Oryzias latipes: one gene and its partner. The protein of the gene in region 1 interacts with the protein of each later gene in a pairwise test. Links are inferred from orthologs where the notes say so. Each region holds a gene or a part of one and is shown on either strand. Other genes may lie near its edges.

Region 1 (3,500 bases):
AGCGGGCATCAGGTGTCTCAGACGATCCCGCCGCCACCATCCTTCATGCTCCACACGCCAAAGATCCATCTCATGTTCCGCTGTGTTGTCATATCAGTGTTTGTGTCACATCACAACAGCAAACACACATGTTTGTGCCATCAGGTTCTTCCTGTTCCCTTCTGCTGCTGAAAAACCTAACCTTTCCAAACAAAAATTCCCAGCATGCAAAGGGGGTTTTTTCCTCTCCCTCTGACATGAAAGCGTCACAAAGTTCAGTTTGATATCTGCAGCTTAAAGCGTCTTTGGAATTCCGATGATTTTCACCTTTTACCTCTTTTTTTCCCAAGTGCGGGGTTTAGCTATCTGTAGCTGTTGAGAGGAAAAGCCACTGAAAACATTTGACAGCAGGTTTGCAGAGATTATCATAAAGTAATCCCTAAGAAAGAGGGCGCTCTCTAATGAAGGAGCTGCCAGAGCCCCGCCCCCTCACAGCTACCTCCATCAGAAGGTTATTTTCTGTGGATACCTTCAGAATGACTGTCTAGCTGCAGCATCTGAATGTGAGGAGGATTGCAGGTACCTGGCCTTGAGAACTGGTCTGAAGAGCAGAGTAGTCAAAGATGATGACATTGAGATCTTCAGGAACATGGCTTATAGTCCCATCTTTGACTCTGGTCAGTAGCCTCTGTGGATGGAGGCTGGTGCTGAACCACTTTGACTCTGGTTTAGGAGTGCGTCAGAACACAGGGGCATATAAGGCTACATACACACCTGGCAGGGAGGCAAAGTTCAACGATTGTGACAGCTGAAGTCCTGGTCTGTTTGAGCCGTTGTGGGAATCTGCCCCATCTGCTTGTTTTGACCATCAGGTGTCTTTAAATGCCCACTCCAATGAAAATGGTCTTTTTTATGTTTTTAAAATGTTCTTGTGGCATTTTTCTGACGACGGACGCAATATAAGATCTATATATATAATAATATAATATAAGACATCTAAGATAGCACAAGGGTTAACCTTTAATCACCAGTGAAGATCACAAATCATTGAAGAAAAAAGGTTCAGCGCACTGTCTAGTGGGTCTAGATGACCCAAATCCCAAGTGCCTAAGATAGCACAAGGGTTACAAAAATTAGCCTTAATTTTGGATTTCTGAGAATTTCTTTATTCCAATCATTATGAATCAGGAGCAGATGAATAATGCCTTTGGAAAAAGATTGTAGCAGTAATTTATTGACAGACAAATGGATCCATGAACGTCTTTGTTTTCCTCGCCAGAGCTGGAATCTGGCTCTAAACTGTACGACTGGATAGCTATAAACAAATGGATGACGGGAAGTAGGGGCAGGCTTGTACTGCACCAACAGTCGCTCAATGCAGATGGGAATCGTTTAATGAACTCTTTAGAAAATGACAGTTTTTTTTTTAAAATTTAGGCTGGAAACGACATAATTACTATCAAAAGGCCAGTGGGAAGGCTTTTACAGTAGATCAAAAGATGATCAAAGGGAAACTTGAACTTTTCACCGCGGTGTGTGTCTGCAGGTCAACGTCCGCCAAGGTCAGACTGTGTACGAGAGTCTGGATAAAGCTCTCAAAGTGCGAGGCCTCAGCCAAGACTGCTGCGCCGTGTTCCGCCTCCTGGAAGGGTAAGCCCCCCTATCTGCTGTATGCCCCCCTCACATCCTGATTGAAAACCACAGCACACACAGCAAGACTAGTTTAGGTTAACATAAACTCATCAAGGTGATTTGGAACTGAAACGAGTAAAACATTTTTATGAAATGGACTCAACTGGATCTGTTTTGTTTTTAACCACTATATTTAGTTTTGTCTGCTTTAAAAACCTCCAGCTCACTTCAGTTTCATCGTTATAATTATTGTTTGAAAGCTCGTGCACAAAACTTTTTTCACCAAAAGTTCTTTATTTAAACCAAAGTTCTGATTTAGACACCCAGATGGTGGAATCCATTCAAACATGCAGGTTTCTAAAACTGTGTGGTACAGACTTTAGTGCAGACCTCTCTTTATAAACATCCATCTGTGGGTAAACGAATGTGTTTTTCCATCATCCAAGCTAATTTATTCATGAAGAGCCATATTCATGAGAAAGAGGAGATGAGTGGAGATAGAAGGTGGAGGGCGTCTCAAAGGGGAAGATGATCAGAAACAAAAAAGATGTATACTGATTTGATTTTTGTCAGTTGGCGGTTAGCACATGTCATGCATCAGCTGCCCCTGTTTCACAGCAGCTGTGCAGTTTATGCAGCAGTTGCATCGTTTTCACGGTAGTGTTGCATGTCATGCAGCATCTGCACAGGTTATGCTCTCGAGTCTCATCCACGTTTCAAATTTAGCAAGTCACAAGCTTTATCTTACAGGTATGCTCTGTTTTTAATTCTTAAGGCCTGTACAAAATAGTATTATACGGTAGCCGTTTATTAATTTAATCTTGATGGATCTAAACCATAATCATCAACCAAAACCTCATGTTGCAGCGATGACAAACTAAAATAAGTAATACTTTGTAATATTTGCTAATGGAAGTCACGTCCTCTGATAATAAGTGCACTTAAAGTTTAATTTTTACAGTTTCACCTGTGCAGAAACATCCAGTGCTCCACAAAGTGTCCTGGAGTCTAAGCTTCACTGACGATTGCTTTCTGCTGCTAGTTTGCACTCGACAATCTTAGTTAAATCCATCTGAGCCTCCGTCCAGCTGTGCAAAAACTCTTTACATCTCCACGTCTTCATGTTTCTCTTTTCCTCCTCTTCCTCGTTGCTCCAGTCGTAAGAGACTGACTGACTGGAACACAGACATCACTCCTTTGGTTGGAGAGGAGCTGCTAGTGGAGGTTCTGGACGACATTCCTCTCACCATGCACAACTTTGTGAGTGTCTGGAAGCGCACAGCATCCCATAAAAATCTTTGAACTGACTGAGGTTTTCTATGCATTTTTGTCTCAGTCTTCCTAGGGGACGTAATTAATGTCTTGATGGCTTTTTGTCTTCTTAGGTACGGAAAACGTTTTTCAAGCTGGCCTACTGTGATTTCTGCCACAAGTTTCTTTTTAATGGCTTCAGATGTCAGACATGTGGCTACAAGTTTCACCAGCACTGCAGCAGCAAGGTCCCCACCGTGTGTCTGGACATGGACACGGTGAGCAAGCGGTGAGTCGGACTTCCCTTCTTCTTCTTGATCACATGAAGCAACGAGAGCAGCAGATGCAGCAGACCAACACCGACAAGGAAACATCCACAACATGTCAAAATAAAACGATAAAGAAAAAGGCGAATGAACCCAAATAAAATCCAAATTTGAGGTTTGGCATCACAATCTTCATGTTTCATCCAAATGCTGATGTTTTCTGCTCAGAAACGGAAAGTCTTCAAGAACCAGTTTATTTTAAATATTAGAATATAGCACCATTTATTTTGCAACATTTTGCTTTGTTTTTTGATCAATTTTGTGCAAGAACTCACTGACCTGTTGACATATTTATTGTTGTGCAGATTGTGT
Region 2 (4,253 bases), on another chromosome or scaffold:
AGTGAATAGTTGGAATTCTTGATGCGGCTTGACTTTTTCCGGTCTCGCTGCAGAGGTTAGTTACCCTTTTGGCTCCAAGCAGATCCTGGTCAAATCCCATCTGAGGTTCTGTGCACGCTGTTCTCCCAGCGTGTTGCAAATGTTTTATCCGAGTGTTTTTTCGTTGCCCCAAACCATCTGGTGGATCTTTGATTCTTTTTCTATTCAGTCTGTGAATTTTTAATGCTGAGAAATGGCATGGGACCTGGCAACCTCCACGATCCAGGATGGAACATGTGAGTGAAAAATATGGTGAAACAACAAATACTGGTCTTGGAAATCAATGGCCAAATATTTAAACATCAAGTTTTACATGTTGCTTTGAAATTATACAGTCTAGAGGACAGTATGGTTTTCCTGAAGAAGGTCAGTGTTTGGGCTAACAAAGTTTTGGGATTCCTATAGAGATATACAAAGTTCCAACTTGAAGAAAAAATTGAAACAGTAAATATGAAATCTACAAAATTGGGTAATAAACAAAGCAAAAATACACTGTGCATCACTTGAGGCATAAATGTGTAAATAAATACTTTTCACCACCTATGGTTTCAGTCATGTGTATGCAAATGCAAATAATCTGATCCCAAACATAAAGACTTTAAGCATAGTCCATCATTTGTAAAATGTTTTGATACTTTAGAATATTTATTACAAAAAACAGCAGAAGTTTGATTTAACTTTTGGTGTGGTGGCTCCAATTTTCTTTTTCTTCTGGTTGCAGAACAAATGTCATCTTATGGAGAGCTTCTATGAGGTACATTTTTCTTTTTTAGCTTATTGAGCACAAGATAGGTAGCTAATTTATTTTTCAAACAGGGTAATTGAAATTGTTTTACATGAATTATTAAGATATAGATTTTAATTATTAATGTTACAAATAAAAAAAAGACATTGAAAGACAGTATCTAATCGAACAAGTTACAATAAAGCATTTTGAATCTATGAATGCATTTTTCTTCTTCTTCCCACTCTCCTTTCTAGATGCTGCTCATAAAAAATTAAAAGAAAAAATATGTGAATGTGTGATGCAATTTAAATACCTAGAAATATTAACGTCTGTATTGAAAATCACTTATTTGACCATCGGTATACTGGATGTATGTATGTATGTATGGATGGATGTATAGATTTGTATGGATATATCTATAGATGTGTTCATATATGTAAATACCTGGTCTGATTGCCCCCCCTCCCATTTTTTTAACCAGTTATATATATGAAATTTGTGATTTTGACACAAAGAATGTAAAGGTAACCAGTTTATTACTGCTCAAGCCTTTTATGGCAATTTTTTTCTTCCAAATATATTATACAGTTATATACGAGAGGAAATGTTTTAAGACTTCATAATTGTAAAGGAGTTAGAGCCTTTAAATCTGAACCAGGGGCTACCCAAATAGATTTGGGGGCGTGATCATGACGTCACATCCTCGCCATTTTCCTGCTGCTGTTGTTGTTAGCCTATTAGCTAAAATATCAGCATTTGCACAGAGAAAAGGCGGGTCTGCGATACATGTACCCCGCATAGCTCAGCTTCTGCAGTGAGTTCATCGTGACTGTCGTTCCTGCAGTCATGGACGAGGATTTCTACAGCGGCCCAGGCGACTGGGAGAGCTCAGACGTGAACGTGGTGAGGAACCGGGGCTTGTTGCTGTGTGCGCCCGCTCCTAGCGACAAGAAGACCGGAAGCTTTTAGCTAAATAACCGGGTTTGACACACCGAGAGAACGGCTCTTTCAGAGTGTGAACGCTGAGCACTTTTCGAAGTTTTAAGACCCTCCTTTTATTGTTAACTTCGTCTTTCGGCCAGTATAACAGAAGTGTTTCAAGTACCAAAACAGTTAGCTTTGTCACGGGCTAGCATCACTTCAAAATAAAAGTCATAACCAAAATAGCCTTTAAAACAAAAATTAAACCTCATGTGGTTTATTATTGGGTTTTTATACATTAAGGTGAAATGTAAAATAAACCAAAACAAGGATTTTTTTATAATCATGATTTTTTTCTTACCCAGTTTTCATTTTGTGCGGGGTCTTGTGTGTGGGCTGATGATTTATTTTGAATTTAAATTTGTATGTTTATTTAAATCTTTGTTTTTAACTGTAAAGCGCTTTAAGCAGTTTAAACGCATGACAAGTGCGTTTTTATTAATAAAGCTTGATTGAATTTGTTGTAGATGATCTCTTTCTTCATCATCATACTTTTAGCTCGTTTTTTTTTTGTCCTATAAATGGGCTGATACTATGATTCTTTTGCCCTGATTTTTTTCATTAAGGAATTTGTCTGGGTTTATGAATCCATTAATGCTTATTGACACGTTTATGTGTTAAATTGAATGTTGGAGCTTAAACGTTCCTGTTACAGGAGGACGGTCACATGGAAGGAGAGACCGATGGTGCAATCCAGGAGGCTTGTCTGCAGAAGTTTTCCAGCAGGGATTACATCATGGAGCCTGCTATCTTCAGCACCCTCAAAATGTAAGCTTCTGGGGTCCAAATCCAACAGTTTAGTTTGTGTCATTTCTTTTATGGCGTTCTATATTGGTGTGAAGATTTGCTTTTGTCATATTGTGGCTTCTGGGAGACTGACAGCCGTTTTTGGTGTTGCAGGTACTTTCAGGCCGGTGGCTCTCCAGAACATGTGATCCAGCTTCTGTCAGAAAACTACTCTGCTGTGGCTCAGACTGTGAATCTGCTCGCTGAGTGGTTAATCCAGATGGGTAACTGATTCAATTATTTCCTATTTCCTGTATTTGTTTTGGAGTATGCTCAATCCTCATTTTTCCTGGTTGCAGGTGTAGAACCCGCTCAGGTCCAAGAGCGTGTGGAAAATCACCTGAAGAGTCTCCTCATAAAGCATTTCGACCCCCAGAAAGCAGATTCTATTTTTACTGTTGAGGGAGAGGTGAGCTCTATTTATCCTATATTTTTTAATGGATCCTCCAATTAAAATTGAACCAACATGAAGCTCCCATGATGCTTTGCTCCGTGTTTAGACTCCAGCTTGGCTCGAACAGATGATCGCACACACAACCTGGAGGGATCTTTTCTATAAACTAGCTGAGGCTCATCCTGACTGTTTGATGCTCAACTTCACAGTAAAGGTATCACAGTGGTGTTGTTAGGGCTGAATTAAAATGTACTTTTTTACTGCCCTGAAATGATTAATTAGGACTTTTTATTTAATTGTTAGATAAACTAAAGCAATCTTCTCTTCTGAGTTTTCTTCTTTACCATAATCTCAGAGTTTTTTAACATTACCCCTTTGGAGCATTTTGGCACCTTGAAAATAAATTGAATCTTTATTATCTTTCGGTATTTCTGCATGACACAACCACGCAAAGTTTTACCTCCAGTTTTCTGTTTTTCCTCTCAAACGTGTAGCTTATTTCTGATGCTGGTTACCAAGGAGAGATCACCAGTGTGTCCACAGCCTGCCAGCAGCTGGAGGTTTTCTCACGGGTGCTGAGGACATCTTTGGCCACTCTGCTCGATGGAGGAGAGGAAAACCTGGAGAAGACCCTGCCAGAATTTGCTGTGAGGCTTTTGTGTTACCAATTAAAGCACCGTTTCTTTTTTTGTTGTAGTTGTAGGAGATTTAACACTTTCTCAGATTGTTCTGTCCTTTGTGTGCATTCTTACTTGCTGTTAAAGTTTCCACGTTTTCTCCACCATGTTGCTCTACAAACTCTGCATTTGACGCTTTTCCTCTGGCGTGTGGTAAAGCAGCTCAGCCTTTAGGGCCAACCTGATCTGCCTTTCTTGTCTTTGTTGGTTCCACTTTCTGTCACAATAGGAAATTTGGAGCAATCCTTTTTTTTTTTATCATGGGTGCAAAATCAGTTTTTATTTAGAGTAAATCTGGAATTAGATGTGTTTTTCATAACTAAATTTCATTTGATCACTTACTAGGACTTACTCCTACTCCGATCCTCTTTAGGTTAGAAAAACGTTCCCAAATGTTTTTTTTTAAATTATGATTATGCCATTTTTAGCCAAAATTAAAAAAATCCTGTCATTTTCTAGGATAGTTTCTGCAAAGCGGCAGTAATTCATTAGAAATTTGCCTTTTGAGTTGTGGGTGGGACTTTTGGCTCAGAGTAAGTGTGTCCCCACTTCCTGTCACCCATCTGTTTACCCTCTCTCCTGCTAGCTTTCAGCACCTTAAACCCTCAACCTGAGCAACATTGGAGCTATCCAGATGTACAGTTTAGAG

What was found. The genes of interacting proteins can lie anywhere in the genome.
Region 2: the proteins of araf (region 1) and nelfcd interact in binary tests that used the Homo sapiens proteins (3 or more experiments, as listed by UniProt). The link is inferred for Oryzias latipes from reciprocal best matches to the Homo sapiens genes ARAF and NELFCD.

What each region holds. Positions count from the first base shown.
Region 1 is NC_019867.2:28,410,335-28,413,834, forward strand, and holds part of araf (serine/threonine-protein kinase A-Raf), read left to right. Parts: intron 1-1,525; coding exon 1,526-1,629; intron 1,630-2,768; coding exon 2,769-2,871; intron 2,872-2,996; coding exon 2,997-3,151; intron 3,152-3,500. UniProt on the Homo sapiens protein: Involved in the transduction of mitogenic signals from the cell membrane to the nucleus. May also regulate the TOR signaling cascade. Phosphorylates PFKFB2.
Region 2 is NC_019863.2:26,966,359-26,970,611, reverse strand, and holds the start of nelfcd (negative elongation factor C/D), read left to right. Parts: upstream 1-1,453; 5' UTR 1,454-1,612; coding exon 1,613-1,669; intron 1,670-2,402; coding exon 2,403-2,515; intron 2,516-2,647; coding exon 2,648-2,757; intron 2,758-2,832; coding exon 2,833-2,942; intron 2,943-3,033; coding exon 3,034-3,141; intron 3,142-3,421; coding exon 3,422-3,574; intron 3,575-4,253. UniProt on the Homo sapiens protein: Essential component of the NELF complex, a complex that negatively regulates the elongation of transcription by RNA polymerase II.